Linked DNA regions of Rhinolophus ferrumequinum. The protein of the gene in region 2 interacts with the protein of the main gene of each other region in a pairwise test. Links are inferred from orthologs where the notes say so. Each region holds a gene or a part of one and is shown on either strand. Other genes may lie near its edges. The genes, in order: HAAO and GAD1.

Region 1 (15,647 bases), on a different chromosome or scaffold from region 2:
TAATTTTTTTTTAATTATGAGAACATAGATGTGTGCCAATTATCAACTTAGTGCTTCTCTGCTCCAAATACTCCTTTCTTTGCCCTGCTGTGTGATCCTGCCAGCCAGTGCCACGGTTTGGCCTTATCAGTGGAAGATGCTAGAAGAACACTGAAGGGGCTCCTCTTTCTAGTTTCAGAGCTTTTCTTCTGGCTCCTACAGCACAGCTGCCAGTAGGCAGCTTCACAGATTTTTTCATCACCCAGCACACAGTTTCCTCCTTGACAACCCCAGCCTGCAGCACCTCAATAAACTTCTCTGCCGCCCCGTGGGCCACCACCACACCCTCACCAATGAGTTCTGGTGGAGACGGAGGACCATTTCCAAGTTTATTTCTTTCATGAGTTTTCTATGTCATCCCTGGAAGTCGTGGCTGCTCCCTTTATGTATGATTCCTGTACTCTTTAGAATTCTATTTACCCCCTCTGTCGTTAATTCTCATTTACTAGTTAACAATTCTTTATATTGCATTCTCCCTATTCAAATAACTGGTGTCGTTTCTATCTCCTGACTGGATCCTGGCCGATACAGAATGCATGAATGATTTTTTTCACTTGCCATTTGGAACAAAATCTTTCAAAGAATATGGAGAACATAGTGGTAGGTAGGTAAAAATAACACACTATACAGGGCCAGGCCCTGTTCTAAGAACTTTGCACCTTCTTAACTAATTTAATTCTCATGCCAACCCTATGAAGTAAGTAGCATGATTATTTCCTTTTTCAGATGAGGAAACTGAGGCAGAGTGAGGTGACTTACGTAAGTGGGAGCGCTGGGGTTCAGATACAGATTGTGTGACTTAGGGTCCACGCCCTCAACACTAATCGGGGCTCACAGAGACCCTAAATGATGGCGGCCAAAGAGTCCTAACCTGATAATTAGGAAAGACCAGATAGAACTAGGATCACTAGAGAAATGAAAACTGGGACCCAGCTACGTTGGGGTACCCGAATGCCTCAAGCCCCCCCCTTCTGAGAAGATAGGGTAGTTCCTCTTTCAGTTCTGGCAACAGTTAAACCCGAACCTACTGGACCAGGTACAGGATGGCAGGTCTTAGAGATTAAGCATAAATAATGACGGTGTTTTCCCTTTGCAAGGAGGAAGAAAGAGTTTCAGCAGAGGCAGCCATGGACCTCAACTGTCCTTAGGTCAACTGTCCTTAGGACTCAGGGCTGTCCTTAGGTCAAAATTTTCAGGTAAGCAGGAAATCTCACCCTGTAGGGCTGAAGAAAGACAAGGAACTGGAGTAAAATGATGTTTGTTTATATCTCTGTTTAGCCAACAACTACTGAGGGCCTTTGATAATATCCCTTTACACATATACACCGTAGCTGGTTTAGCCTTTTTCCTATTAATGGCCATCTTGGGTTATTTCCTGTTTGAAGCTATTATAAATAAAGCTGCTAACAGCATTCTTTTACAAGTCTTTTTGTTTTCATTTCTTTGGGGTAAACTCAGGGTCATAATGTAGACTTAGGTATAGTTTTAAAGCACTTTTTATTTTAGTAAAATATACATAACATAAAATTTGCCATTTTAACCATTTTCAAGTGTACAATGCAGTGACATTAAGTACATTTACGTTGTTATGCAACCATCACCACTATCCGTCGCTAGAACTTTTTCATCATCCCAAACGGAAAATCTGTACCCAATAAACAATAACTCCCTCTTCCTTCTCCCCTCAGCCCCTGGTACCCACTATTCTACTTTCTGTCTCATAGGTACTTCATATAAGTGGACTCAGACAATATCCACCCTTTTGTGTCTGGCTTATTTCAGTTAGCATCATGTTTTCAAGGTTTATCCATGTTGTAGCATGGGTCAAAATGTCCTTCCTTTTTAAGGCTGAATAATATTCCATTGTGTGTACATACCACATTTTGTCTATCCATTCATCAGTTAATGGACACGTAATGTGCTTCCATCTTTTGACTATTGTGAATAATGCTGCTATGAACATGGGTGCACAAATCTCTGTTCAAGTTTCTGCTTTCACTTCTTTTGAATACATACGCAGGAGTGGGATTGCTGGATCATATGGTAATTCTGTTTAATTTTTTGAGGAAACACCATACTGTTTTTCATAGCAGCTGCACCATTTTACATTTCCACTAGTTATGCACAAGTGTTCCAATTTCTCCACATCCTCCCCAATACTTATTTTATGTTTGTTTGGGTTTGTTTGTTTGGTTGGTTTTCCCTTTGGAATAGTCATCCTAACGGGTGTGAAGAAGTATCGCACTGTGGTTCTGATTTGTATTTCTCCAGCGATTAGTGATGTCCATCATCTTTTCATGTGCTTCTTGGCCGTTGGTGTAACTTCTTTGGAGAAATGTCTATTCAAATATTTTGCCCATTTTTAAATCGGTTGTTTGGTTTTCTTGTCATTGCATTTTAGAAGTTCTTTATATATTCTTAATATTAATCCTTTATTAGATACACAATTTGCAAATATTTTCTCCCATTTTGTGGGTTGCCTTTTCACTCTCTTGTGTTCCTTGATGCACAGAAATGTTTTATTTTGATGAAGTTTTATGTTTAGTTTTATAAGAAACTGCCAGACCCTTTATTTCCAAAGTAGTTGTGCCATTTTATGCTCCCACCAGCAATGCTGGATGTTCCAATTGCTCTATATCTTTGTCAGCACTTGGTGCTGTCAGTCTTTTTAATTTTAGCCATTCTACCGAGTCTGTAACAGTATCTCATTGTAGATTTTGTTTGTATATCCCGTTGTGTCCTGCACAACAAGAGTTGTGGGGAGCGAGAAGGGCAGCGCAGGGTTAAGAAAGACTGTAGCCAAGAATAGAGTGCAAGCGGAGCCAAGGGACTCCAGTCTCAAAGGACTGAGCCCTGAATCGGGCCAACACATAGCTTTTATTGATTAACAAATGAGGAAGTTAAGCTTGTTAATCTCAAGATCCGTGAATTTCCCACATTATACTAGGAAACCGATTCAAACCAATCACCCTTGCCTGCAGACAGCAGAACTGTAAGTCTCAGGATGTATGTACCTCCCCAAGGGACAAAACCTTTATGCATATGAATAGATGGAGAGTTGGTATTATCACATCATTGAATCTCTTCCCAAGCAGGATGTGGGAAGGAATGTAGCCACAGAGGCAGAAGCTCTCCTTAGCCGGGGGAAGGTGGGGGTCTGTGCCCACCTCTATCAACCCCATGAGTTCTCCTGATGGCCCCTATGTGACTGTGACTGTCTTAGGTTGTTCCTCCCTTGAGGACTCTTACCCGTCATTGACTAACCAGCCATCCTTTGGGGCCAAACAAGGAGACATAAGGTGTAAGCACAAAGGTGAAGCGAAGTCCATGAAAGGATCTGTCTCACAGACTCACCTTTCTTTAGGAGTAGGTACGAGGGGACAGACGGGTAGGTTGCTGCGTGGCAACATATTCCTGATGACTAACGGTGTTGAGCATTTTTTGATGTACTTATTGGCTATCTGTATATCTTTGTGAAATATTTGTTCAAATCTTTAGCCCATCGTTTTGTTTTTTGGGTGTTTTTTTTTTTCAGTTTGTTTTACCTTTGGAGGTTTTGATCATGTTTTTATTAAGTTGTAGGAGTGGCTGATATGTCTTAGTTTCCTCATCTGTAGGTAGCAGGTATGAATTACGCCATGACACCTGGGCTACAAGAAATGCCAAGCTCAGCGGCCATCCAGTGTCCTGAACTCATAAAAGCCCACATATGTCCACTTCTATCCAAGGCATGTGGGATCATGCCAGGAAGAATAATGGAGTGGAGGGGAGGGGCAGTGGGGACTGTCTAACACAGTGCAATTTGAAGGAAGGAAACATTCAGTGGTCCTTGGCAAAAAGAAGAAAGAAGAACATGAAGCTATAGAATATCTCCATGGGAAGAAGGAGGGAGGCAAAGGAGGGAGAGCCCACACTGCCCTGAAGCCAGAGAAAATGGAAATGCAGCTAATACATCAGCTAAACTGAAAGCTCGTAAGAGAGCTGGCCTGAGTGTCTCTCCCCAAGGTCCTTCCACCTGTGAGGTGACAGGGGGACAGAGCTTCCTGTTCTATTTGCAGAGAGCCCTGAAAAGCTGACAGTGACCATAGCACTCAGCTGTCCTTCCCTGCCCTGTCCGTCCAGTAGGGTCTTGGCTGAGGTTGCAGGCTCCATCCCAGGACCAACAGCCACTTTTGATCACATTAGAGAGGCAGTATATTGGAGGGCCAACTGATTTTATTATCTGATGTGCCCATCTTAGAATCTAACCCTCCCTGAGTTACAAATCACAACCATAAACAAATCATGTAACATACAGAATTAAGCTTATGAAAGTATATTAGTCAGGAGACAGAAACCACATCCATTATTTAACAAAAAGAATGTAACACAGAGAACTGTTAACTAGGTTTAAAGTTATTAACTAGGTAACTGAAAAGTCAAAAAAGAAAAAAAGAAGAAGAATTCTGCAGGATCACAGAACTAGCAACTGTAAGAAGCTGCTACAACCCCTATGGCTGAGGGAACCTAAGAAGAAATTGAATTACTAAAACTTGGAAGTTTTAGTAATAGGGAGACTGTGAAATTGAAACCCAGTCGCTGAGAGGGCACGCCAGCTTCTGGTATCACTTTAAAGCTGATTCTGCGAGAACTGGGAAAACTGCAAATTGGATTTAGAAACCACGAAGGGAAGGATCCAAGATGATAAGCCCAAGAACCATAGGCAGACAGGGGACAAACAGGACGCAATCGAGAAGGAACAAGTTCCTTCTTCCTCCTATGGGGCCTGATGGACCAGCTGGTACATCATACATGGAGTTTGCAGAATCCCAGACCTTGCATCACAATGCAGAGCATAGAAAGTGAGTTTCAGGCTGAAAGGCAGGAACTTAATTACTGGCACAAAGAGCTTAATATCATACAGAATGCAGCCACCCTGCAGGCAAAGAGGAATGTTTTGAAATAATCTACCCATCCTCTAGTCACCCAGAAATGTGAGCGTTGTCTTATAAGGAGACCAGACCAAATGTCCAAGCATCTGCCATATAGATTTTCCCTTTATTACTTCCTTTGGAGGTTTTAGCTCAGTGGTTCCTAAGCTTTCATGTCTAAGAATTATTGCAGACTGTACTTTACATAAACTGCTTGGGTACTTAGATATAAAGAATTTTGTGATTTGATTTTAACTATATTGAACTTTTGTTTTACTAACTTGAGAATCAAATCCCTAATCCCCCAACACCGCCAAACACTACAGTCCCTGGAGTCAATCGGGGCAGAACTCTTTAACAAGAAACATTATGTCACAGTAGAAAAAAGCACAGGTCTCGATTCCAGTTAGGCACAGGTTCTTCATATTGATACCTCTACTTACCAGCTGTGGACCTTTGGGGGGCGCTAGTTCATACTCTGAGCTTGGGTTTCAGTTTTCTCATCTGTATGTGGAGATTAAATGAGAGAATGTATGGGGATTAGCACAGAGTCTGCCATGTAGTAATCATTCAGTAATGGAAACCAGAGACCGTGTCACTGCTATTATTGTCATAGTTAGGCTCCTGAGACCTCACACCATACTCTGATCCGAGGGAGAAATTTTTCTTCAATGATTACTTGAAGAGAGAACTGGCTAAGAGAAGCAGCGGTGAGTAGCAGCAGGTCCAAGTGTCAAGAATTTCTCAATAGTTTCCACTGAGTTCCCAAAGAAGTAAGCATGGGATTGAGAGTATAAGAGTGCTGGGACCAAAAAAGACCGACAAGAGCAAACCATGGTGACAATGTGGAGAAATCAGAACCATCACACATGGCTGGTGGAAATAGAAAATGATGCAGCCACTTTGGGAAACAGTCTGGTGGGTTTTTGGTTTTTTTTTTGAAAGGTTAAACACCAAATCCAGAAAATGAAAGATATAAATAGAAAATAAATAAATACGTAAACACACTAAAGCACAGGAAGAGGACATCTCAATAGACCTGGAGCTGAACCTTCAAGGAATGACTAAAAGAAGGCAAAAATTAGATTGAAGAAGGAAATCTCAGCCCCAGTGCATACAGGATCCAAGAAGAGAGTCTTCCCAAGGGGACTGGGAGCAGCCATCAGACCCAGGGGTGCTTCAGACCCAGGGGGTGATGAAGATGTGAGAGGAGATCCAGGAAGGACTGCTTGGGTACTTAGTTGGGGCACCGAAGCAGGAGCAGGTGGTCCATGGCCCCCATGCATCCCTGTCTTAGCCCAGGAAACTGTGATGGGATGTCTGTTCCAGGTGGGAGGGAGCAATGAATGTGGGAGTTTAGAGCAGAAAGACAAGGCAGTACCTGGGATGGCGAGGATCACCCAGGAGAAACTGGGAGTGCCCAAGCCCAGGAGACCAGCTGCTGAGATACCCTACTTAGTGGCAGGTCTTGCCTACACCCACTCTGAAAATAGCTCGGAGTACAACTTGTGCTTCTTCACCTCAGTGGGCTCTGCAGAGACAGCCTAACAAAGAACGTCCACCATAAAGATGACCTTGCCCAAGGATCCCTCAAATTTTGATTTGAGAAAAAGCAATATCATCAAAAGAGATGAGCCAGAACCTTTCCCAGACTCCCCTGAGGTTAGGTGAGAGCGTTGACTCAGTCTCAGTTTCCGCCAGTGGACTGGGGCACAGAAATGTGTACACTACTTCTGGCCAGATCTGGCCTATAAGTACCTCCACTCTCCCTTTTCCTCTTTCTGCCGGCTGGATTTCAATGCCCAGGGTGATATTGGAAGTTACACGATGAAGGAGACAAGATCCTGTGTCAACTTCTGTCAAATCAGGTCCCTAAGTGTGTGGGGGAAGTGCTGCCTCCCCATTGCACTTCACAGGAATGAGAAGTGAACTTCCATTGTGTTAAACCACTGAATTTGGGATGGGTTCCCCCCCCGTTACAGCAGCTCATAGTATCTTCACTGATAGAGAGTTTACAGTTTAAAACAGTTTCCTTGGAGAAATAAGGGAGTGTATCACATCCATAAAAAGAAGTTGTAGGAAGGAACCAATTAAAGACTTTGTAAATAAAAATATGAAACCATTGAAATTTAAAACTCAGTAGATGAGCTGAACCATAGACTACATCAACTAAATAGAAAAACAGTGAACTGGAAGATTAGACAGAAGAATATTCCCAGAAGGCAGTCAAATGGTGCCCAACACTCAGGCCAGGAGGCTTGCCAGTTGAATAGACATGGTGATTTATTTACGCAGCACAAACTAGAGGGCAGATTTGACGGTGACTGTACAGCAGACTAATTAGCCTGTGGCTAGGATTCATCTGGATAATTCAGACCCCAAACATTCACTTGTGACCTCAACTATTCATGTTATTTGACCAGATATATTAAAATACAGAGTAACTATCGTTCTTTCCTTTGTACTATGCAACAGAACATCTGTTGAGCTGAACTCATTTTTTTTTCTTGCCTTTTACTGTGAGTTCACGCATGCCTTTATCCACCAACCCACCCATCCATCGGTTTAACAAACATCCACACCTAGCACATCACAGATCCTGGGTGTTTCACGTGTCGCTGCTTAGATTTCCACCGATTACTCATAATGAGAAAGACAAAAAATATAGTTTGAGTTATTTTGATGCCAAAGAATATTCTAGAAAGAAATGCTCAGTTGAAAAGTTCTAAATGAATAATTAAAAAGAAAAAAAGAAGGGAGAAAGGGGAAAAAGAACTCGGAGTGGAGAGGAAACAGGAGGGTCCGCCCCAGCAAAGGCGGGCGGGAATCTTATTTCCTATCAGTCTGGGTTGTGATTTGCATGGGGGCGTCCCCGTGTCTGGGGGTGCTGAGAACACCAGCCTACCCCAGGCAGCAGGGAGGGGGCAAGACATACTGGGGTGGGGGTGAGCAGGAGTTGGAGACATTTCTAATTTCTTGAACTCTGTAGTCAGGATTCTGGTGCCCGACCCGTTCTCCCCCACCTACCAGCTCTCCACCCCACCCTCCACCGACACACACGCGCAATTTTCCTAAGAATTCTGAGTCCGGAAAAAAGAGAAGCGAGCCGGTGTCGATTGCCCTTCCCCCTCCCCCGCACTCCGCCCGTTTCGTCTCCTTCACACCCACACACCAGGCCTCTTCTGAGCCCCCGGGGTAACTGGGTTAGAGCCTCTCACACGGGGTATAACACGAGCACAGGTTTGTCCGCCCTCCCCACCCCCGCACACCGAGAGCTCGGTGCTTCATCTGTAAAACTTCTCATAGAATTGTCGTGAGAGCCCTAAGACACCGAAGGAGCTTAGAACAGTGCCCGGCAGCTTGACCCTGTCTGTACCCCCCACCCCACCACCACTATTACAGGTGAGCGGACCGCGCCCTCCAGCCCGGCCCGGCGGGTCCCTGTCGTGCGCCGGGGACCCCGCAGCACTGCGCTCATGGTCTCTCCTCGCGTCCTTCCTGAACCCGTCACCCAGCCAAAATCAGGGCAGCCAGCGGCACTCAGTAAACCTGGGGGTTCTGGCCTGACTCCATCCTCGTGACAGGGAAGATAACCTTAATCGGGTCTGCGGTGGCCGCTCCACAACCCTGAGATGACTTCGTCGACATTCCCAGATTTCCGATGAGGAAATTGAGGCTTCGATCCAGTGCCAGCACCCCTGGACTCAAGTGCTCGGGTTTCCAAACCCGCCTGCTCTCCACTACAGTATTTCTTAGAGGCCCAGGAGGAAAGTCTGGGGACAAAGGACCAGGAAGGTTCTCGATGCTATGTCTTACGCCTGTCTCAGGCTCCCAACCCCCGAGCGGGCGTGCGGAGCGCCCCCAAATGTGTGGCAGGGCCGAGCTGGTGCCTGGAGGGGAAGCGGTGGGGTGGGGGGCGGTGCCGGGGCACTGGGACCAAAGGCTGACAGTGGCCACCGCGCGAGTCCCCAGCCCCGACATCGGGGTTGCCCCGCCCTTTGACCCCTGGGATGCTGATTAACCGAGGCGGCCAATAGGCGTCTGGGCGGAGACGCGCCCCTCCGACGGCTCCAGGACACCGCTCAGAGCACAGCTCTGGGGAAACCATGGAACGTCCCGTGAGAGTGAGGAGTTGGGTGGAGGAGAACCGAGCCTCATTCCTGCCCCCCGTCTGCAACAAGCTCCTGTGAGTCCCAGGCTTGCCCCCCTCCTCCTGTCCTCTGTCTTCACCTTCTTCTCCATCTGCATCCCTCAACCTCCAGGTCCGAGTTCCCTGACCCAGAAGCGTGCAGAAAGGGGGGCTGTCGTCCTCATAGTGTATTCAGGGCGGGTGTTCTGTTTCCACCACCTTCATCTGTTCCTCTTTCGAGTCTGCTGTGGAGACTGTGAGCCTGACTTCTGAGGTTGGCTGGGTGAACTGAGGCTAGGGGAGATGCAGATGGCAGGTGGCAGCCCTGCCCCCCAGGGCTGAGAAACAGCTCCACCCCACAGCAACTCTCAGAAGTTTGGGGAGGGTGGTTTTCCATGCCCCAGAATTGCAGTAGGACCCAGGTCTGGGGACAGCCCAACCACACACCCCCACTCCTGTCTAGGAAGCCACAGTCAGACAATGAAGTCAGAGGGTTGGTCAGCTCCTGTAGGAGGATTTGGATTATTACTCTTCCCAGTTTTCATCTTTGCTGGCAGGCACACACACACACACACACACACACACACACACACACACACCAGCTATCTCTATCCATAGCACCCCACAGAGCTGATGGTGGTCCAGCTACCATGTTTCCCCGAAAATAAGACCTAACCGGAAAATAAGCCCTAGCATGATTTTTCAGAATGCTCATAATATAAAATAAGCCCTACTGTGTTTCCCCGAAAATAAGACCAGGTCTTAATTTTTGCTCCAAAAGACGCATTAAGGCTTATTTTATATTACGAGCACCCTGAAAAATCATGCTACGGCTTATTTTTCGGTTAGGTCTTATTTTCAGGGGAACACGGTAGTCTTTCTCCAGTAGACCCCTCAGGCCCGCCCCTCTGGCCCCTTCACCTCACTCCCCTTCCCTGGGCTCCTGTGGCTTGGCCTGCTGTGCTCCCCAGCCCCAGGCCCCAAATCCCATGTTTGTTGTGTCCACAGAACAGCTCCAACCTCAAAGCACACAACTGCAATCCAGAGACTGTGCTCAGTGCTTTTACATCATCTCATTCAATTCTCACAGTAGCCCCAGGAGGTGGACTTTTACAATAAGTAACTTGGCCAGTGTCACAGAGCTCAGGCAGGACAGGGTCCAGACTCAAGCCCATGCAAGAGTTTGACTCCAAAGTCCACACTCTTGGTCACTGCCAGGGCTAACAGCCAGCCTCTCCCCAAAGCTTCGTCTCTCCCACCACTGCCGTCACCCTCACCTCCTTCCTCACTTCAACCCTGTCCACAGTCTCATTCTCAGTCCTCCAGTTTCTCCCTCAGCCGTGTCTCATATCTACCTACTCCTCTCCAGGCCCAGGGCCACCGCTCTGGTTCCGCGCTCTTACATCCAGCCTGGGCAGTTCGGGCCTCCCCTGTCTCACACCCCCCACGCAGCCCTCCAGCGCTGCTCCAATATTAGTAATCTCAAAACGTAGGCCCTCTCTTTAGTCAATCAGCAGATGTTCACTGAGCACCTGCTACATGCCAGGCACTGTTCCGGACACTGGAGAGACAGCAGGAAACAAACTGAAAAAAGTCCCTTCTGGTGGGAGGAGTCAGGCAATAAGTATTAACGAACAGGGGGTGGGAGGCTGCAGGAAGACCTGGTGGCCACGGGACAGAATAGGGCTGTGGTTTTACTCCCATGTTGGCGAGGGTTGTGAGGGAGAATCTGCTCCAGGCCTCTCCTCACTCCGGGAGGTTTACAGGCGATCTTTGCATTCCTTGGCTTCTGTGTCCTGATCTCTGCCCTCATCTTCATAAGGCATTCTCTTGTGTGTCTCTAAATCTCCCCTTTCATAAGGACGCCAGTCGTATTGGATGAGGGGCTCATCCTACTCCAGTATGACCTCATCGTAGCTTAACTGACTATGTCTGCAATGACACTCTTTCAAAATCAGGTCACATTCTGAGGTACCGGGTGTTAGGATTCCAACATATGAATTTGGGGCAGGGGGTACATATGAATCTGCTGAGGGTTGTGAGCAGAGGAAGGACATGACCTGGCTTATGTACTCTGACTGACGGGCTGAAATAGCTCTTGAGTGAGTTCATTCAAGAACTTTCCATATGTACCTAAAGTGTATCTCGGTAAAGATGACTAAAAAGAAAAAAATATATCCCAGGCTCCCTGGCACCCCCTGAGGCCAAGACCAAACTCCTCGGCTGAACTCTCGAGGCCTGGAATGACCTGGTCCCCGTCTTGATCCAGCCTTCTCTCTCACTCCCCAAGACCACTCCCACACCACCAGGACCCCCATTGCGTCTCGTCTCAGGGCCTCTGCCCCCAGCTTCCTCTTCCACTTCCTTCCTCAAGTGCCTCAGAGCTTTAAGCCCAGCAGTTTGGGGGGAACAGACAGTCTCATAGTCAGACAGCTCTGGGGCGTGGGGGGTAGATAAAGGTCATTTTACCCCTATAGGAAGTGGGCCTTCAGTTTGCGCTCCTGTGTGTGGAGGTCTTGAGCACAGCCCAGGGATGCTGATTGATGAAGAGACAGATCCACCACCACACTGTTCCCCCTACTGGGTCAGAGGATGAGGGGGACACACACACTCCAAGACACAGACATAGAAAGACACAGGCACGTACAGTCACAGACAGGCACTCAGAGGCACGTGGGCACCCTGGGATGCGATTGGAAGGGGACAAATGTTGAAGACTGACAGGAACAACGATGCAGAAATAGCCCTGTTACCTCTCCCAGGTGTACCCAGGCTCCCTCTGGGCCCCCCATAGACCCCTCCTGTCTTCTCCCATGAGCCGCTTCAGCATCTTTTCCCCCACATGCTTTGCAGGCATCAGGAGCAACTCAAAGTCATGTTCGTCGGAGGCCCCAACATCAGGAAGGATTACCACATCGAGGAGGGTGAGGAGGTAGGCCTGCAGACTGCCCCTCCCCTTACCCCGCCCTGGGAGCAGAGGATGGCTCCCGTAGGACCAGAGCCTGTGGACAGAGACGGGGTGGTCAGATGGCTGATGGGTAAAGGGCGCTCAACTGAAATCACAGGGTAATATTGTTGCCTGGGAGATGTGAGCACCCAGTGACGCCTTTGACAGCTCCATCTTCAGAAAGATCTCAGCCTCTGCAGGTGTGAGAAGCTCTAGCTATTGGTCTCACCCCCTGGACATGGGCTGTCCATGCTCCGGTGGGATGCCCTGGTCCTCTCTCACAAATCTGAATATGCAAGATTGGCCTCCAAAATGAGACCCAAACATTGGGAGGGACCTGGATGCTCCACTCTGGTCTTGGGAGCCAAATTCTCTGGGCAGCGTTGGGGCTGGGAGGCCCATCCTTATGTAGAGGGCACAAGACACATCAGTTGCTAGAAGCTATTGGAGAGGAGGCAGGTAGGAGGGGAAATCTGCAATTTGCACTGAATATCCTTTTGTACTTTGAATTTTGGATTGTGTTTCTATTCTACCTACATCAAAGTAAATAAACAGAAGAAAAATTAAAAGAAAAAGATGGGCCCTCTTACAAAGGGACACAGATGGGTTTCCAGGTATCAGATTCTCTGGTGGCAAAGGACCAATTATGGGGCCCCCTACCTATCATCCGGGGGGGCCTGGTACTGGAGTTCAAGGTCCAGAGTCCAACTTGGTCACCAGCCTCCACCCCCACTGCTGGCGACTCAGCCACAGCTGGGGGCGCGGGGGGACTGAAGGGAGCACGAGAGAATCACTCACTCAACAAATGTTTCCTGAACACCTAATGTGTGAGGGGCAGAGGGGTGAGGCCCCGGGCCAGCGGGGACAGCGCTGCAGAGCAAAGCTGGTCAACCCCTCCCCTCTCACACTTCCAGGGCCCATACCTCCCCTGGCCACCCCTTCTCACAACCCAACTCACTGGAGGCCATTTTCCTCTGGGAAAGAAAAACAACAGGAAAATCCAAAATAGCAAAGAGGAGACTGGATAGGGGAGACGAGGCTGGATGCAGTGTCTCTCTTGCCTGCCTCAGTCAGCTTCGAGCCCCCCATCTTGTCTTTCACTCTGTAACCCTGATCTCATGGCCCACTTCTCCTGTCTCCCTCCCTCCTTCCGTCCCTTCTCGCCCCTCTACCACCTCTGTCCCATGCCCCACCCTGGGGCCTCCCCAAACTGCTCTGGTGGATGGGTGTCCACTGAGGGACCCAGGCCAAGCCCTGACTGAGCAGGGAGGCTGACAGATGAGGAGGGCTGGCCTGAGCAGGTGTCCCCACTCTGGAGGGTGGCGGGGAGGAATTTGGCTAGAGGTGGGTTTGTAACAGCCTGGACCCACCCCTGAGGTGAAGGAGAATACCAGCCACAGGCCCTGGAAAGCCACAAGGCAGGGGGTCAGCCTCCTCTCTGTCCCAGACTCCATCCACCCTGATGAGAGAGAGAAGGGGAGTCACTGAACCAAAATTTCCTCCTTGCTGAGCTCAAGCCTCAGCATCAGCCCTTCAGGTGCCCCAGCTGCACACACCACACATACCTCACTTACCCCAGTCCTTCCCTTGGGGAGCATAGGTGTGGGGTGGGGGGTGGGTGGGGGGTAGCCTGGGTTGGGAGTCGGCCTCTTCCTAACCATGTGACCTTGGACAGGTCACAGCACATCACTTCTCTGAGCCTGTTTCCTTGTGGCACATGGAGACACTGGCCCTGCCTGGTGGCGCACAGTAGGTGCTTAATACACATTGGTTCTCAGCCCCCTCAGCCCCTTTCGAGCATAATTCCTTTTGGATTGCCAATGGCTGTTTGGATTTTCTATTGTTCAGGATCTGAACCTCTGCTCCAGGCCAGGCCTGACCCTCATCACAAGGAAAGCCTCTAGGCAGAGAGGCAGGACTGAGAAAAATTCCACCTCCTTCCCATTTTTATTGGATAGCTGCTAACACTTTGTACCTTCCGGATAGGTTTGAATCTGCCCACAGCATCAGACCGCTTTCCCTGATATTTGCAAGGCCCAAGGGCTATGTCCCCCTCCCTAGAACTTTCTGGGCCCTTCCTCCTCTCCCAGTGCCGCGGGAAGTGCCCCCCACCCCACACATACACAGGGGCTTCCTCCCAACTGGAGGTGTGGGGGTGGGGTTGCAGAATTGCTCCCTAAGAGAATCTGGTAGGTATTTTCTTGTATGTTTTAAACATCTTGCATGGGTTATTTCCAATAATAAAAGTGAATATTGTTTTTTTTGTAGAAAACATGCGAAATATAAAAAAAGACAAATGCATCCCTCATTCATAATCCCACCACGCAGGGAATCCCAACACTGTGAACGCTCCCTAGGTTTACACACTTATTGCCATGTAAGTAGAACCCTGCTGGGTATAGTTTTGAATCTTGTGTTAACATGATAACTTTAGCATTTTTCATTTTCCCACCTTATTAACAGTTATTCAAAAATCAGTGGCTGCATAATATTCCATATTTTGACTGTCATAAAATCATGACATTTCCCCTCATTATTATTAGCATTATTTTTGCTATTCCTGCCATCACTAATGTTAATAGCTCCTGGCCTACGAGTGCTGACCCTGTGGCGGGTACATTGCGTAGTGTCCCAGCAGACTTCACAGCGACATTCTGAGTAGGCACTGTCATTTTATAGATGAGGAAAGGGAGGCACAGAAAAGCTAACTGAATTGACCAAGGGCACATGGTGACCTAGCTGAGCTGAGGGTCAGGTAATGCTGGAATCTGGGCTTTTAACTGCCATGCAGGTGACGAAACAGCCATGTATGTGCACCATGAGGCAGGTGCCTGTCTGATTCACTGCAGCCACCTCCTAGACACGGAATTAGGTGGTAGGTCAAAAGCATAAGGTGGCCACTGTCCTGGTTTGTCCTGGACTTTTCCAGTTTCAGCACTGAAAGTCCTGTATCCCAAGAAACCCCTCTGGCCAACCCACAGGGGTGTGAGCTGTGAAAGTTCTTCCTGCCTGTGGCCAAATTGCCCTTCAGAAGAGTTGTGTCAACTTGTCCCTCACGCAGACCACATTGCTCTAGTTTCCCTAAGCTTGGCTTGATTTCTCTTAGTAGATGCTGTGACAAGAACCTCTATCACCTCTAACTCCTTACATGATAATAATATTATTATTAACACCCCTTCAACTATTTGGCTGTGGTTTTAACATTAGTGTAATGTGTGACTGGTGGTGAAAAACTGTGCCTGCCTCCTTCTCTTCCCAGCTCCACTGGGTGATCTCAGCAAACACATTAATTAGGGACTTAGGACAGAAGAGGGAAAACACGGTAGGTGCCCCCTCCCACCCCACCCCACCCCACCCCAGGGAGGCAGCAGGAGGAGAGTGCTCCCATCCCCCATAGCTCCCGGCATCACTGAGTCCCTAGTTTACATGGCCAACCTCCAGAGGGACTTGAACGGGCACAGCATCACCGTTGCCAGAGGAACCAGCACAGGCTCCAGAGCTACATTCAGACTTGGGTCCACACAGGGGCTCCAGAACTAACTCTGTGACCTTGAGCGGGTTGCTTTACTCTCTGAGCCTCAGTTTTCTTTTCTGTATTATAGGACTAATAACATCTTTGGAC
Region 2 (15,833 bases):
CCAAGAGCTCTCCCTCAGAAGAAGTTGATGCAAACTCGGAGACCGACATTCTGGGATCCAGAGAAGCTCAACTCTTTCCTGCCCCTTTACCCTTTCCGGCCGCTTTGGTTTTCCTCAAAGGGGGCATTAGACCTTTTCTTCCCACAGACTCCGAGGGCCTGCAGTCTGGGAAGCTGGGAGTACCGCCTGTGCTGAGGATAGGAGGTGGGGACTCGGGTGGACGATGACTGCGTCCCCCACTCCCACCCCCGGCAGGCCCAGGACCTTAGGGAAAACAGCCCTTACCCCAAGTCTCCCCCACCCTCTTCTCTACTGCAGAGGGTGCCCAGGGCTCGCTCAGTTCTGCTTGCCCGGCTGCATGACAATGACTGCTGCTGAAGCCCAGCGCCTAGCCGAAGGGACCTGGCGCTGAACGGGCCATTAAGCGTGGAATGGCGGCGGGGGTAGGGGGCTATTTATAGAACAAAGCCCCGGCTGCTGCCAGCTGCCCCAGCCCCCCGAGATCCGCGACCCGGCCTCGCCCCACGGCCTCGCGTGCTGGAAAGAGGGTCAAACCCGGGCGAGGCAGGGCGGGGTTTTCCTTGGAAAATGGCTAGGTGTGGAGTTGAGCAACCCTTCTTCACAGTAAATGCTGCTTCCGGGATCCAGGGGACAGAGCCCTAGAAGCAGGCCGCTCAGGGAAGGGAGGATGGTTCCCAGAAGCTGCTAAATAGCCCCTCTCTGCTCCGACCACAAACTGCCGCTGCCCTGGGCCAGGGACACAGGAAAGCCGGGAAGCTGGGAAGATCAGGCCCAGAGCACACCCCCTGGCTGATGGCTCGGGGGCGCGTTCCTGGGCTGTGGCGGGCGGGTTTGCCTGGTGTCCGCTCTGCTGCTATCTCCAGCGCACAGCAGCTGACGGATGGCTCTTTAATAAGACCCTCGTTAATCTTCCCCCGCCTCTCCACCGCCTGCCGGGGGACATCAGTATTTTCTGGCCCGATAAGGCTAGAGATTTTAGACGGTGACTTGTAGCAAGGAAAGCAAATCCTCATTGTTCAGCCGGAGCCACTCGGCTGTGTCCCTTCGAACAAATCTCCTTTTTTCCTTAAAAAAAAAAAAATTACATTCCCTGGGCGTTTTCATTTCAGACCTTCACGTCTCCGGAGAGCTGTTCTCCTCTCCAGCTCCCAGATCTATTTCGCTTCCTCTGGCAAATCGTGTCCAACTCCCCCTTTCCCTCTTGCGGCCCCCCGCCCCCGCCTGCTCCCTTTCCCTCACCTCCTTTCCTTCAAAGGCGAGCTCCGCAAACCCTCCGGCCTGTGCTGCCCGCATCTCCCTCAGGTAGGCCATCGGGGGTGCAGGCTATTCCTTTCTCTTGGCCTTCGAGGCCACAAAGAACGAAATCTAAATCCGTCCTTCGAGGCCACAAAGAACAAAATCTAAATCCGTTATGGCATCTCGGGGCAAAAAATCTCAAGCCAGAGAGGCCACTTTCAACGCGCGATGGTAGAGAGGGAAGGGGGACAATATGTCAGCCACCGTCTTAGGCAGATAATGAGCCAGGAAAGCCAGACTAGTTCACCTTTTCTACAAAACCTTCTAGACACCCGCAGAGCGTAAGGATTGGAACCGCCCCGCGCCGGACAAGAATAGCCCCGCTGCCACACCCGGGTGGGCCCGCTGTGCTCGAGCTCTCGTGCCCAGACACCCCAGAGGGAGCCCCACGGTCTCAGGTAGTCCCGGACCGAAGCCTTGGAGATGGTCCCTTGGGGCTAGGTCGGGGGAGGGCAGAAGAGGGTCCAGGCCTGTAGAGGAGGGTGTCTCTACCAGGCATCAGGGCTGCAGGTACATTAGGAAAATCATCCCCAAGAGCCGGGATCTCCTTCCACGTGCGTCTCACTTTCCCAAACCCTCCAAGCCCGCTTGCCACGCGCCACCTTGCCGGGCCCCAGCCGGCCCTTTCGCTTACCGCAGATCTTGAGCCCCAGTTTTCTGGTGCATCCATGAGCCACACCGCACCAGGTGTCATACGCTAGAAAGCAAGAGAGGTGCGATCAGTGAGGCTCAGAGCCTGAGGGACAGGGTTGAGGGCAAAGGTTTTCTGGGGAGGGTGGGGCAGGTCTTCGCCTGTACTCCTCATTAAATTCTCTTTCCTGAAAGGAGCAAGGAGCCAGATCTGTGGGCTGACGAGCAGACTCGTGCCCTCCTAGTCCCCATTCACACACCCCTCCTACTCCCACTTTCAGGTACAGAACGGTATCTCTGAGAGGCGACGCACCAGAGCCTCGCCGGAACTCCAAGCAACCCACGCGAGGGAGCCGGGAGGAGGCAGCGTCCGAGTGAGGCAGGCTAACCCAAGTGCAAAGGGTCACGCTCCGCCGCTGGAGTTGCCCAATACCCACCCGCCAGGCCCTGCCCCTTGGTCTCTGCCCCGCAAACTCGAAGGGCAACCACAGCAGCCCGGAAAGGGAACACAGAGGCATCTGGGACCAACACGTCTCATAATTTCTTGGCGGGTCTCCAGCCGAGTGGCAGCTTAAAATAAACTGGCATGAAATGGGGTCGCGGAAGAGTTCAGGAATTAATTGGGTGAAAAATAGTATTTGACTAGATGATCGGGCTCGCATGGCTGCTCTTCAGTTGGACCGGGGAGTCGGGAAGACAATAGTGTGAGTCCCACTCCTCCTCCCTGGCCCCCTCTTTCCAACCTGCCCCTCATTAACCCTTCCCTCGCTCGACATCTCGGGTCTGGAGCAGGCGAAAGCGAAGGGAATCAGGCACCTTTCCCCTGGCCCTGCCGTAGTTTCAAACTCCTCAGGGTCTATCCTGCCCTTGGGGTTCACCTTCCAGCAAGGAGCCTGAGGGGTGCCCGCAGAGCCCGCTTGTGAGCTGCTGTGGCGGGCCGAGCGTGAAATTCCCTGGGGATCCTTCAAAGCAAAGCTCCTCCAACCACTCCCATCCCCCATCCAACCCTGACCGGTGCCTTCAGCCCTGCATGAGTGTTGGCTGCGATAAGGAGAGTGACATCCATTAAAACGAGGCACAACAGAACCCCAGCGGGGAGAAGAAATAGCGCGACTCAGTGAGACGGCGGTCACAGATGGAGTTCCTGCAACAGACAGGAAATCGGTGCGAAAGCAAAACCCTAATAATAATACCGAGCTGGTAAAGAGCTATTTCCACCCGATAAAGAGCTTCCACTTTAAACACCCATCTCAGCTAATTTTCATAACAACCTTATGAAACAAGAATGCTAACCTAAGACTCATTTTACAAATAAGAACCTTGAAGCTCAGAGAGGCTAAGCAAGTTTTCCAAGGTCACTCAGATAGGGCATTGAAATTCAGACTGATTGCTCTGCCTTTCAGAGCTGGGGATTACAGTGAAAGAAAGGGAAAGAGAGATGGCAAAAGGTACAGAGAAAGCCCTTTTGGTGTAGTGAGTGGAAGGGGAGGAGGGACAGCAAGAAGGAGGGGTCCTGGGCGCAAGTGGCGGAATATGGTTGTGTAGATTGGGCAAGGCCACCTCCTAGGAGACCTTGCAGGGGCACAGAAGTGAGGCCAGCTGGGAGAGCGAGGACGAATCTGCAAAACAGAGGGAGAGAGTGGACAGAGAGCCCGACATTAGCGTGCAGTCTGGGAGGTTGGGGACCATCGACAGCGTTCTCTGGACAAGTGGCTGCATGCTCTTTCCCAGCTGGGTCCTCGACTATCTTCCCTCTGCCTCGGAGGCTTCCGGTCGCGCCAGGTCATGTGCAAACTCAGGTCAAAGCCTCTACTGGGTCTCGGACCTGGGGCTTGGCACATGCGCTCCACCTCTGGCTGCAACGGGAAAGAAGAAGGAGCGTGGCTTGGCAGTGGGGGTGCAGGACTCAAGGATGGGTGAACACAACGGCCTCCCAGCCCCACCAGACAGCAAAAGAGGGGCGGGAAATGTTGAGAGGACTGGAGAAGGAATCCATCAAGACCGGAGCAACAGACAAAGGCGAGCAGGCCTCTCGTTCCTCCCGGCCTGTTCCGACCAGCTCTGCAGCCCGTGCCCGGTTCACGTGCCACCAGGACTGGCGGCTCTCCCGAGCCCCTCTTTGTTGTGTTGGGTAATTGTAGCTCGCCTGGGGGGCGGGGAGAGGGAGCTGCAAATGGAATTGGAATGCAGCCTAAGGACTTAAGACAAGGCCTCCAGCCTGGGAGCCAGTGGCAGCGCCAACGGGTTGGGGGGAGAAGGGGTCTTACCCCCTAACACTCCCCATCTTCGTTGATGGAAACAATCAACGTTTTCTCAAGCTTATAGAAAGTGCCATAAAAGCAAAGCAATAAGCCCTCCTAAACACACTGCCATCCCTAAGACCCACTTATATAGAAAATTGGGGGCGGTTATTAGCTGGTGCTGATAGATTTGGGGGGAGGCACATTTCAAGCCAAATTGGAAAAAGAAAAACAATTCTCTCTTCCCCATGCCTCCACAGAACAGTAGGAAATCAATCTGAATTAAAGAGATTGTGAAAAGGGTTGAGAAGCGCACTGAACCAGAGGTGGGGAAGCATAAATCTCCTTCCCCCCCCCTTATCTAGTTCCCCTTTTCTTCCTCCCTCTTTGGGACATGTCAATTGCTGACAGGTCTCCTGCCCGGGAGAAAAGAGAGGGGTGCTCTCTCCTGCCCTGGCAAACCTTCTGGCCTCCTCCTGGTTCCCCACCTCTCATCACTCAGGATGCTGCCCACTCTTTTTTCTTTTTTGTCTCTGAGATGTAATTAATTGTCTAAAATGTCGAGGCTCCATCTCAAACCATTTTATGCACCTTCTCGCCTCTGACTTCTCCCTCACTCGTCACTAGCTCGACGCAAATTTGGAGCAATTAGGGACCCCGAGTTTTCTAAAAGCTGCAATTAACGTCGAAATTTCCGCTGATTATAGACTTCAAGCACAGCGCAGGGGGAAAGAAGGAGGGGGGTCTAATCTCGTCCCAACGAAAGCAGGAGACAGAAGACTCAATTCCCGCTGGGACTCCGGGCTCCCCACACCATCCCCTACCCTGACCCTCGACGTCCCACCAAGCAAAGAGTCCACACACAAGACAACAAAAACAACGCGCTCCCCGCCGGAGCCTCCCTCGCACCTAAGCCCTCAAGGATCGCTGCCACTTTGACCCTTCACGGTTCCCACTCTCCAGCGCCCCCAAATCGCCTAGCATCCCTGTCAGTAGAACGACCTCTGGCCAGGATCGGGTCAGGGCCCCATTTCTTTCCAGCCTCCATCATCTCTGCGCTCCTCCTTCCCTTTCCGCCAGCGTAGCCTCCACACGTCCCAGCGCCCCCACCTTCCTCGCAGTCGATTTGATGGAAAACTGGGACAGGACCTACTTGTGGGGCGCAGGTTGGTAGTATTGGGATCCGCTCCCGCGTTCGAAGAGGATGCGGACGAAGAAGGGGTCGAAGATGCCATGAGCTCGGTGGTCCCGGGGCCTCTGCAGTCTGGGGTCCTCGGCCCGTCAGGCGCAGGAACAGGCTGTAAAGACAAGCGATAGCTGTGTGGGGAGGACTTCCGGGGTCCGGCGTGCAAAAGGCTACTGAGTGCTCGGAGTGCGGGCGCTCCTCCTGAAGTCCAGGCTCGGGAGAGAGAGGTGGGAGGAAGGGCAGCTAGCCGGCTGGGTCGGGGTGCGCGAGGGAGGGGGGAGGAGGAGACGTGCGCGCGAGCTCAGAGACTCCCGAGCCGGTAACGTAGTCCCCGGCGGCTCTCCAGTTTGGCTGAGCAGCGGGGCGACCTGGAGCGCAGCGCTGAGTCTAGAGGAGCCCTAGGCCAGTGCAGGACGCGAGGGTGCGGGGGACTGGGCTAGGAGAAGGGAGGCTCAGTGAGCGATTTTCCAGCCTAGCCGCGACAAGCCCCATTGGGTTCTCAGCAGCCGGCCGGCGGGCATACGGGGGGAGGGCGCACGGGGCGGGCACGTCTGGTTTGGTGTCTGGTTCCCGTTGTTGTGTCTGGCTAATTCCCTGGGAAGGAGGCTAACTGCTCTGGAGACCGAGGACTTTGGTGAGACAAGGTGAGAGGAAAAGGTGAGGGTCCAGATCTTTAAATTCTCCTTCGGACTTGGCAGGGAAAGAACTACAGTCACTTTGCAAGCCTGGCAGCCAGAAAGCAGCGGGTCGCATCCTCGCTCGTGTCTCTCTTATCCCACCCCACTATGAGCCGTCTCGAAGCCTGGGATGAAGCTTGGTCTAGGTTTCTGTGTTTCCCCTCCACCCAACTCTCTGAGGTCCCCGGATTTCTCGCAGCACAGACTCGGAGTGGGTGAGGGAGGCAAGAACCCGGAACGTCACCGGGGAAACGAACTTGCGCCCAGGGCGCGGGAGACAGCAGATAAGGATTGGTGCTCAGCGCCGCTGCTCAGCGCTCGGCGCGGGCGCGATGGCGTCCGAAGGCCCCGGGACAGAGAGCGTGCGGTCGAATCTGGGAAGGTCTCAGATCCAGCGGAGTAGCGCCCGCGGCCCACCGCCTCCTCACCCTCCCTGAGACCCCACACCTAGCTCCGCGCGCACACTCGCACAGCGACGCAGGCAGCGGGTAGACCGCAGCTTCTCAGGAAGTAACAGGTTACCGCTCTGAGTCGCGCCTTCAGCTGCTGCTGCCCCAGAGCCGTCAGGTGAGACGGACGCTCGCAGCCAGGAAGCGCAGGAGAAAATCGCTTTCGATCCACTTCTGCGCGAGCCTCGGCCTCTCTGCATCCCCGAGGCGTGAATCGCTCTAGTGGGGACAGGATGAGTGCGAGGGCCGGGGTCTCTGAGCCGCGCACCAGCGGAGAGCCAGGACTGAGGAGGGCGGCACTCACTCGGCTGCGGAGGGTAGATGGCGGACGCCGGAGATGGGGGTTGGCGGAGAAACCGCGGGTGGAGAAGACCCAGCTGAACCGCTAAGGCTGGGCTCTGGAAAGTCCGGGCGGCCATGCGCTTACCCACCTGGGCTCGGCCACAGTAAGCCGAGCGCTCCTGCCGCTCCTCTGCGCAGCGCTCAGCGATCCGCTTGGCTCGGCGGGCCCTGCCACAGGCTTTATCTGCCCGGCGTCACCTCCAGCTGCCGCCTCGCTCCCACTATCACCGTCCCACACGCGAGCGCCCGGAGGAGAAGAGAGCGACCGGGAGAGGCGGCTGCTTGGCTTCGGGGGAGGCGGGGGCGGAGTGGGGAGGCGGGACCCGTTCGGCGAAGGAATCACGAGGCCGCAGCTCCCGGGGGCAGCTTGTCGGCGTTGTGGCGGGGCTACTTTGCAGGTGCCTGACCGCCTCCGGAGCTTTATACGGCGATTATAAATCCAGATCACGGTTTTGCGCCCGGAGGGGGTGGGGGGAGGGCCCTATGAGTAATCCAGAACGTACTCAACACGTTCTGTTTTTTGAAATAGGCAATGTCGGGTAAGAGGAGGGAAAAGATAATTCCTATGAAGAATTCTGCTTCCCTGAGCGCTTCTTCCTCGCTCTCCTCCCCCCGTCCCCATATATTGGAGAAGACAAGAACAGTGGTATTGCCTCAATTTCTTTCCCCGCCGTTCCTCCAGATCTGCGACCCCGCCACGCTTCCTCGAGCGACAGCTGTGTCCTCGCTGGCTTTCTACTGAGCCAGGATTGTTGTAAAAGCAAAGGAAGCAGGAGGGCGGGGAATGACACTTAGACCCTTGAAGGAATCTCCATCTTCTTTGTACTTATTTCCTCATCCAGCTGGAGGCCTCCCCAAAGCACTTCACTTGAGCACAGCTACCCAGTGCCACGGCAGAGAAAAGGGTCCAGTTTCCCACCCACTTTGTGCTCCCTCCTACTGTGCACCTGGTGTAAATGAATCGAGGCTTTGGCTAGAAATAAATGATAACGGTTTATTCAAGGGTCTTAGGGTTTGCACACTGGAAACAAAACTAGGTAATACCTAGAGTGTTCCCATGAAGAAAGATAAGCTGAGGGTTCTTATAGTACACATTCTTGAGAAGAATCAGTTCTGCATCCTTAGCCTCTGGATTGGTCCCAGATGGTAATCTTCTCAGATGACCGGTGGTCTGGATAATGGATGTCAGGTGATCTGGATAATGAAAATCAGATGGTGGGGATACCTGAACGTTCTTTTCTTAGTCCTTCAGTGGGTAACCAGAGGGTTATCTGCAGGTTTTGATGTACATCCAGGCAGTGACGCAAGATTGGAAAGTTAAAAAGTTTAAGTTCCCAAGCTAGTTAAAACAAGAATAGGATTGTTTCTTCATGCCTCAACCTACTTGATTTTAGTAATTTAGCAGCTTGACTATAGTGATTCCCTTTTATTTCTTCATTCTATTCCTCGCTGGCTTTAGTCCCCTTGGTGATGGGAAAAGAAGTAATCCTGATTGATCATATCTGAAGGTAATAACATGCACTAGCGCCGCTCTACACCCACGGGAAACCTGACCACAGAGTTGACCAGTGTGTGTGTGTGCGCGCGCGCGCGCGTGTACGGACGGGCCCTTGCTTTTTAAGGATTCTCCTTTCGCAGTATTTAAGCATACTTAATGAATTGCCGCGTTCAGAAAGTCCTTCCTCACAAAAAAGCGTTCACGGAAAAATTTCCACCAGAGGGCGCCAGGCGCCCAGAGACCGAGAAGCATTGTACTAGCCTGGTCTTTCCTGATGCGCCAGAGCCTACACCTGGAGGGGCGGGCGGGGCTGCTCCTTTCCTGCCCCTTCAGTCCATCCCTCAGCCACCCTCCCTGCTAAGTTATGCTCTCCCCTTTTCTTTACCTCAACTTCGTTTACTTTAAGGCAAAACAAAGTTGGTCTTTGTGTCTGGATGACACCCTGTAACCAGCGATTGCTTTTCCCGTTTACACAGTGATTTTTTTTTTTTTTCCCTGTTGCGATGCAGCAGGCAAGGGTTATTTATGGGCATGTCTGCGGCCTTGCTGGTCCACCCGAAGCTCTCCCCATCTCCTTCAATGTCTTATCGCCTTTCACCACAGTGGTAATGCTGAAAATCTTACAAATCACTGAAAATTCCATAAGGGATATTGAAGATTCTTCCTGAGAAGATATAGTCCGATCAGTAAGAGGGATCTCGCTGTCAGGTTTGAAATAACCGCGTTGCCCTTGATACTAAAGAAAATACTGTCGCCCTCTCTCCACCTTACAATAAAAGCTCAGGAACTTTTTAAGGACACAAAAGCATCCTCAACTGAGGTAACAGCAGCTCCAGGCCAGGAGCTTGGGTCTGAGCACGGTGGGTGTGCCCACTCCGCACAGGAAATGTCCCTTGGAACCTTGCACCTCCCAGCTTCTCCACCACGCTGGAAACGCGAGGTTTATCATAAGGCTCGGCTCGGAATTCCACCTCGTCCCCTCCTCTGTCCTCTCTAAAAGAGATGTTGCACCAATCAGGGAACCCGTTGCCAGTGTTAAATCATTCAAGACGAGGGGTAAGGAGACAGGAGGGAGGAGGCAACAAATCCCGGCGCCCCTCGGGGTCCGCTGTGCGGGGAAGACGCCCTCTCACCCTCTGTCTCCCCAACCTTCTCCCAAGACTCGAGATTTTTCAAAGGAAGATTCGTTTACCTTCACCTGTGGCATCAAATTGAGATATTTCCAATGACTCCCTCTTTGACCCCGGTGTCCATAACCACTCACCCCTAACGTTGTAGCCAAGAAAATTGTCTCATTGGAAAAAGAAATTACCTGTAAGACTAGGTATCCCAAATTAAAGCTGAGTCTGGTCCAGGAGCGAGGACATTCCTCCCTTTCTCCTTTATGGAGAGGGAGGGAAGGGATGAAGGCTAGTCCTTAATTTAAAAAAATGTTTAATTAAATATCAATAATTAATTAAACGGACATTTATTTATCACCTACTGTGTGCCAGACACTGTTCTCATGGAGCTTACACTGTCCAAGCAACTTACATTATCCCTGCACTCATGGAGCTGACATTCCAGCTAGGCGGGGAGAGTAACAGACTTGGGGGCTTAATTGCTTTGATTTATTCTCCAATTATCTCTCATTCCAACCAGAATCGTGGGCTCAGCGGAGATAGTAAGGAACTGGAATTGCACCCAGTTTCAGCACGAGTTCGGAGGCAGGGCCCGGCTCTTTCAGCACCAAGGACAGCCCCCACAGTTAGGTTCCCTGAAACCTCTCTGGTCCACGCTTCCGTCCCCAGCTTTTGGCCAACCCACCCAGCTCAACGCCGCCCGCCTCCCACCCGCCCCCACCCCGACCCCTGGCAGTAACTGCTGTATTTGTTTTCCCTTGTTGGTGGGAGTGCGGTGGGGTGCAGTATTTCGCTTCTCTCTTCCCCGATTAGAAATCAAAAGGAGGGTGGTTGTGGTTGTCTTTTGGCTCTTCAGAACACTTGGGGATCTGTATTTTTTTGTTTATATTTGTCATTCTTTTTTTTCATCTTTTATTAGTATCGGGAAAATACTTTGGACAATGGGGGTGGAAAAGATGTCCTCTCTAGGGACTCGAACCGGCGATGAAGGATGGCCCGGAAGGGAGTGGTATCCGCCCAGCTGTTTCGTTTTCTTTTGATCTAAGGTTTAGCGCTTTGAAGAAGCGGGAACGCGACGCCCAGAGGCAGTAGGGGTGGGCGAGTGCGACCCCTCCAGACTCTCTCCGGGGATTGCGAGCCTGAAGCCCTGGCTACTCGATCCTGTCCGCAAGAACAACCTTCCTTTAGGTCAACGTTGGCTGGAACTTGGGAACACGACCCTCCGCCCACAATGCCCTTTTCCTGGGAGGTTTAAAGATATTCCAGCTGGATTTGGAGCCCAACCTTTCGGCAAAGGAAAAAAGGGAGTAGGTGGGGGGTGAGTAAGACATGGAAGGGGCGCCCCACGGGCTTCGGGGGAGATTTTTATGCGTAAGATATGGTCCACGTCAAGGTGAGTAAACAAGAAACGTCAATCTTTTTTTTTTTTTTTGACGTATTTAGTATTGTTAGCCTCCAGGAAAGGTAATTTAGAGTCATGATATTGGTTCATTTCAGCTGGCAATTTAAGGTCTATTTTAAGTATCTTATTTATGACCAAAGAAAAGGGGGGAAAATGGCAGTGATCACCATTTAAACGTCTGTCTCCCGAGACCAGGGAGGGCTGTGGGAAGCCTTGTTAACCTCACACTCGGTTTTTCTTAGGCTGGAGCTACGGTCTATTCGGTGTGTTTGTGTACTCTAAAGCTAGCTCCCCAGATCAATCCGGACTTTGGGGACCACGGCTAAATCGACACCGGTACCCCAACAGACCACACTACACTCACTCCTGGGAGATAGGAAAGGGTTAAAAGGGTGGCGAGGGAGGCAGAATTCCAACCAGAACGTTGGAGAGGACTCCGGAAATTGCAACCTTTTCTCCTAAAAAAGAGAGCTGAATTGCTCAGATAATAGTCAAATAGTCCCTTCTCCCTTGACATTCTGAACATGAAAACATTCCAATATTAAAGAAATTAATCAAGGAGGACAGAGTGATTTGTATTTGGGCAAATGTACAAATCTTTAGACGCCCAATTCTTGCCATTCCAAATATGAAGACAAAGGGACCACTAGGTGGCGATAGATTATAATTTCTGAGGAGAAACAACGGGCCCAGGGGAGCAATTCAAGGAAAACTGCAGGCCCTTTCCAGTTCACCCATCCCCTGCCATATTTCACAAAGCAGGGCCTTTTTTAATGCTGGGGCTGGAAGTGGCCTGAAACACTCAGTCTCTTTGTCGCTTTGGTGAAAGAGAAGGGGGTGCAGAGTATCCTTTTCCCACAGAGCTGCTCCTCCAAGGTAGCCTTGGGAAGGGAACTCTTTGATATTAGGCAAGGTGTTTCTCTGCAAAATTGGAGACCAAGGAAATAACAGCTCTGGATTGCAATTCTGACACAGAGCTTTTAGGACATATCTATGTTTTCAATTCTTCTCTCAACAAAAACTAAGGCAAAATCAGTCCTTTCCCAAAAAAGTGGGATGCAAGTGATTTCCCATGAGATGCTTTTAGTGAAAGAGTACGAAATGGAATGCTAGGTATAGTGATATTTTATCCATTTCTTTCAGTGTGAAAACTCGAACTATTTAAAACAGCGGGCATTTAGCCCTTGTTTCAGACTTAGATGTCTGGGACTGCTGTTTAAGGAGAAGGTTCTGACTTAGTTGTGGAGAATATGATAACAAACTTCTATTTCAGATCAGGTTTATTCTCTAATCCTGGCCAGTTACTTAGGGGAGAAAACTGGAAGGTTAACGTGAGGGGATTCATCACTGCTGCTCTAGCTCAGTCCCCTTCATATAAAGAACTTACATACAGGGGGTGCCAAAAAGAGGTATACAAGTGGACCACTTTAGTCAACACTCAAGCAGTTCGCCATAATCAGAAGTGTCTGGACGCTGATGGTAAGCACTTTGAGCACCTCTTGTAATTGCAGAAGTCAAACATGACTTGTATTCATCTTTCGTTATCGGTATATATTACAATTTTAATATTTTTTTTTCCTTTCTTAAAATGTGTATACCTTGTTTTGGTACCTCTGTATAAGAGCTCACTGGAATTTATTTACAAAGTTCTCATCTGTAAACCCACACCATGGGTTTTCCCAAAGCAGTTAGTCATCTGGAGCTCATTCTATCTTACTCTCAACTGCAAGGCTGAGGTCCTGTTTTCTTGGATGAGTCAGGAATCTTTTAGATCTGCACAACCTGAAACTTCAGGCAGTCCCTAAATATGAGGGTTAAATAACGAGTACCTTCTCACTGGGGCCTATAGGCACACTGTCTCTACTTCATAGCCAGGGACAAATCATGGACAAGTGTCAAAGACACTTGAACTGGTATAACTTTTTTCCCTCTTCCACAGATCAGGACTGTATACTCCACTCCCTCCAACCCCCACCCCTTGATATGGGGCTTGGCCATGTGACTTACTTTGGCCACGGGAATGGAACTTAACTGCAAACCCATGAGTTTTGGGGTGATGTGTTATGCATTTTTGTGGTAGTAGCTGACACCAGGCCAGGGAGAGCCAAGGTGAGACTTAGAGAAATACCTTGGCATAGGCAGCCCAGTTTGGCCTCCTGGTGGTGGTGGTGGTGGAGGGGAGTGGAGTACATTAGAGACCTCTTTCTCTGTGTGTCTCTCACTTCGGAAATACGACATGGAAATTAGGTGTTTATTGTATGAATTCTCATTTAACTATCACCTCTATTTTGCTGATGAAGAAACTAAAATCCAGAGAGGTTTCAGAGGACTTTCCAGACCACACACTGAGAAGTGAGCTGAAAGGGGACTTCCTTCAGCCCCAGTGCCCTGTACACTGCTCACTGAGGCCTCCTCCCCTTATTTGCCAAATAATAACCATTTGACCTTGGAAAAATCACTTAATCTCTCTGGACTCCCATAATGGGAGGGTAGGTTATCAGAGGAGACCAGGTAAGCCTTCATTTATCTGAAATAATTTAGTGATAGTATTTTGTGACTCTGCTCACTGGACCATCTTCTCATGTTGTGAATGCTATGGACTCCTTTTAAGGACCTCTTGAGTTCTTCGAGGCAGCTTGTTACAGGAGGAAAAGCAAAAACTGTCAAGTCAGTCAGATAATTCAAATCTTGATTCTACTGACCACTATCATTTATTCTCAATCTAAATTTTCTCATCAGTAAAATGGGGGCTAGTATCAACTTTGTGGGCTATCTTATTTGATGCCCATAAGACTCACGTTAGAAAGTTCAACTGTGCCTTGTTTATGGTGTTCAATAAATATTTATTCCTGTTCCCATTCCTCCTCCTTAGTTCACCAATGATTTTGATCCATTTAAATGTTTTCTCCTTGGACATATAAGCTAAGCCTAACATTTTATTTTGTTGCCCATTTGTTTCAGAAGAGCTTGATCATCCCCTGACATAGATTTGAGGCACTCCCCTTAGTGATTTAGGTTTTTTAACCCACCGAGAAGTTTTGATTGCTAGAAGAGAAAACTTTCTGATGGAATATTCAGACTCATCTGAGAAGGGGTGAAAGGGAGCCAGTTTTGTGACAAAGTCCTCATTCTGCCCCAGTGACACTGGACTTCTTGCTGTTTCTTGAACATTCTAGGCACGCTCCCACTGCAGCAACTTTGCGATTACTGTTCTTCTTCTTGGGGGTGGGGGGCGCTCTTTCCGTTAAGTATCTGTAAGCATTTGTTCCTCCTTGTTCTGGTTTTTGCTCAAATGTCCAAATGTTATTTTCTCAGTGAGACCTTGCTTTATCCTTCTATTTAAAATTTAGTTCTCCCCCTCTCATAGTACTCCCTAGCCCTTCCCTCTTTTCCTATAACACTTTTTACATCACTTGACATATTGTATACTTTACTAATTTATTGCTTTTCTTCCCCATTAAAATGTAAGCTTCATGAGGGCAGGGTGCTTTTGCTTTTTGTTTTTCAACCAATGTATTCTCAGTACAGAAGGGTTCCTAGAACACCATAACCACCCAGTGCATGTTTTGCTGGGTTTTATTTTTGCAGCTGAATAGATAATATATGCCTAACCTCTTCAGCTGGCCATCTGGAAGGCACCTAGCAACTGCAGAATGAGTGTGGGCAGTCATTTTGCATCAGTTTCTTTTCTACACCTGGAATCAGATAAGAAAAGAGAAGGAAGGAAGTCTCAAAGAGTCAGAGTCCCTCGGAGACCTCAATTAGCCTAATGGGAGCAGCCAGTTAGCAAGTTGTGAGACAACTTTCGTAACTATTCTTTTAATTCCATTTAGCACATGTGATTTTTAGTGTTTGTCCTCTTATTTTCTTTCATTGGTGGGTTGCAGGCTAAGAGAAGGTAGCTAGCTCTAGGACGATGATATTGTCTACTGATTTAAGTATTCTGTCTCGCCTTTGGTTGACTTCTTCTGATACTAAGGAAGAAGCTGAATTTGGTGCCTATTATGATGGGGAAGAGCTTTTCCTCCTAAGGCACTGTCCAGTGGTAGACAGGGAACTGAGACTTATCACCTTTACAGAATGATCATTTTCAAACAACGCTTCCTATGGAAAGACTTTGAGAATAACTTTTATTAAGAGATGAAGATACACTATCTCTCCTGCTTTACAACTATTTCCGTTGTGTACCCCTGAGATAAGACCCTCACGCGATTTACCGAAACCTTGATCTTTTGGTTTGAATTGACCAATCTGACCTTAGCCTGGGAACCCCAAAAGTATTTTACTTGTGGATCCTAATAAAGACATGTACCCCAGGTCCTGCTAGTCACTCTCTGCCTGCATCTTGAGGTCCCCAGGCATAAGGTGCACCTCCTCCAGGACCTGTGAGTCATAAACTTCTCTATTTCACTTTCTCTTGGGGCCTCTGTTGAACCATGGTTCACCCACCATCCGACACCCCAGGGTTCTACTTAACAAATGATAACTTGACAAAAATCACCGTCACAGGGAAGAGAAAACTGGAGAGGCTGCGATGTGAGACCAGTCAGATACCGCTGGTTTTATAGATGGACGAATGGGGCCATGAGCCAAGGAATGCAGGCAGGCTCCAGAAGCTGGAAAAGATAAGGAAACAGATTTTCTCCTAGAGCCTTCAGAAAGATTGCAGCCTTGCTGACCCTGTGATTTTGGCCGAATAAGACCCACTTTGTATTTCTGACCTCCAGAATGGTAAGATAATAAATTTGGATTGTTTTAAGCCACCACGTTTGTTGTAATTTGTTACAGCAGTCATTGAAAACTAAAATACTTTCCCTACTCAATTTTTGTAAGTTAACCACCAACATCTCGGGCAAATCTTTCTGGGTTCCTTTTTTTAGGGGGCAGCACCATCGCACATCCCGTTATCGAACTAGGAGTCATCCTTCACCTCTACCTCTCCCCCACATTTAATTCATCACCAATTCCTGT

Evidence for each region.
Region 1: the proteins of GAD1 (region 2) and HAAO interact in a two-hybrid assay, tested with the Homo sapiens proteins (4 studies listed by BioGRID and IntAct). The two-hybrid records come from large-scale screens. The link is inferred for Rhinolophus ferrumequinum from reciprocal best matches to the Homo sapiens genes GAD1 and HAAO.

Annotation. Positions count from the first base shown.
Region 1 is NC_046296.1:42,031,576-42,047,222, forward strand, and holds the start of HAAO (3-hydroxyanthranilate 3,4-dioxygenase), read left to right. Parts: upstream 1-8,982; 5' UTR 8,983-9,055; coding exon 9,056-9,135; intron 9,136-11,931; coding exon 11,932-12,010; intron 12,011-15,647. UniProt on the Homo sapiens protein: Catalyzes the oxidative ring opening of 3-hydroxyanthranilate to 2-amino-3-carboxymuconate semialdehyde, which spontaneously cyclizes to quinolinate.
Region 2 is NC_046291.1:53,439,158-53,454,990, forward strand, and holds the start of GAD1 (glutamate decarboxylase 1), read right to left. Parts: upstream 7,413-15,833; 5' UTR 6,931-7,412; intron 6,774-6,930; exon of another isoform or gene 6,573-6,773; intron 5,486-6,572; 5' UTR 5,423-5,485; coding exon 5,341-5,422; intron 2,379-5,340; exon of another isoform or gene 2,261-2,378; intron 2,015-2,260; coding exon 1,952-2,014; intron 1-1,951.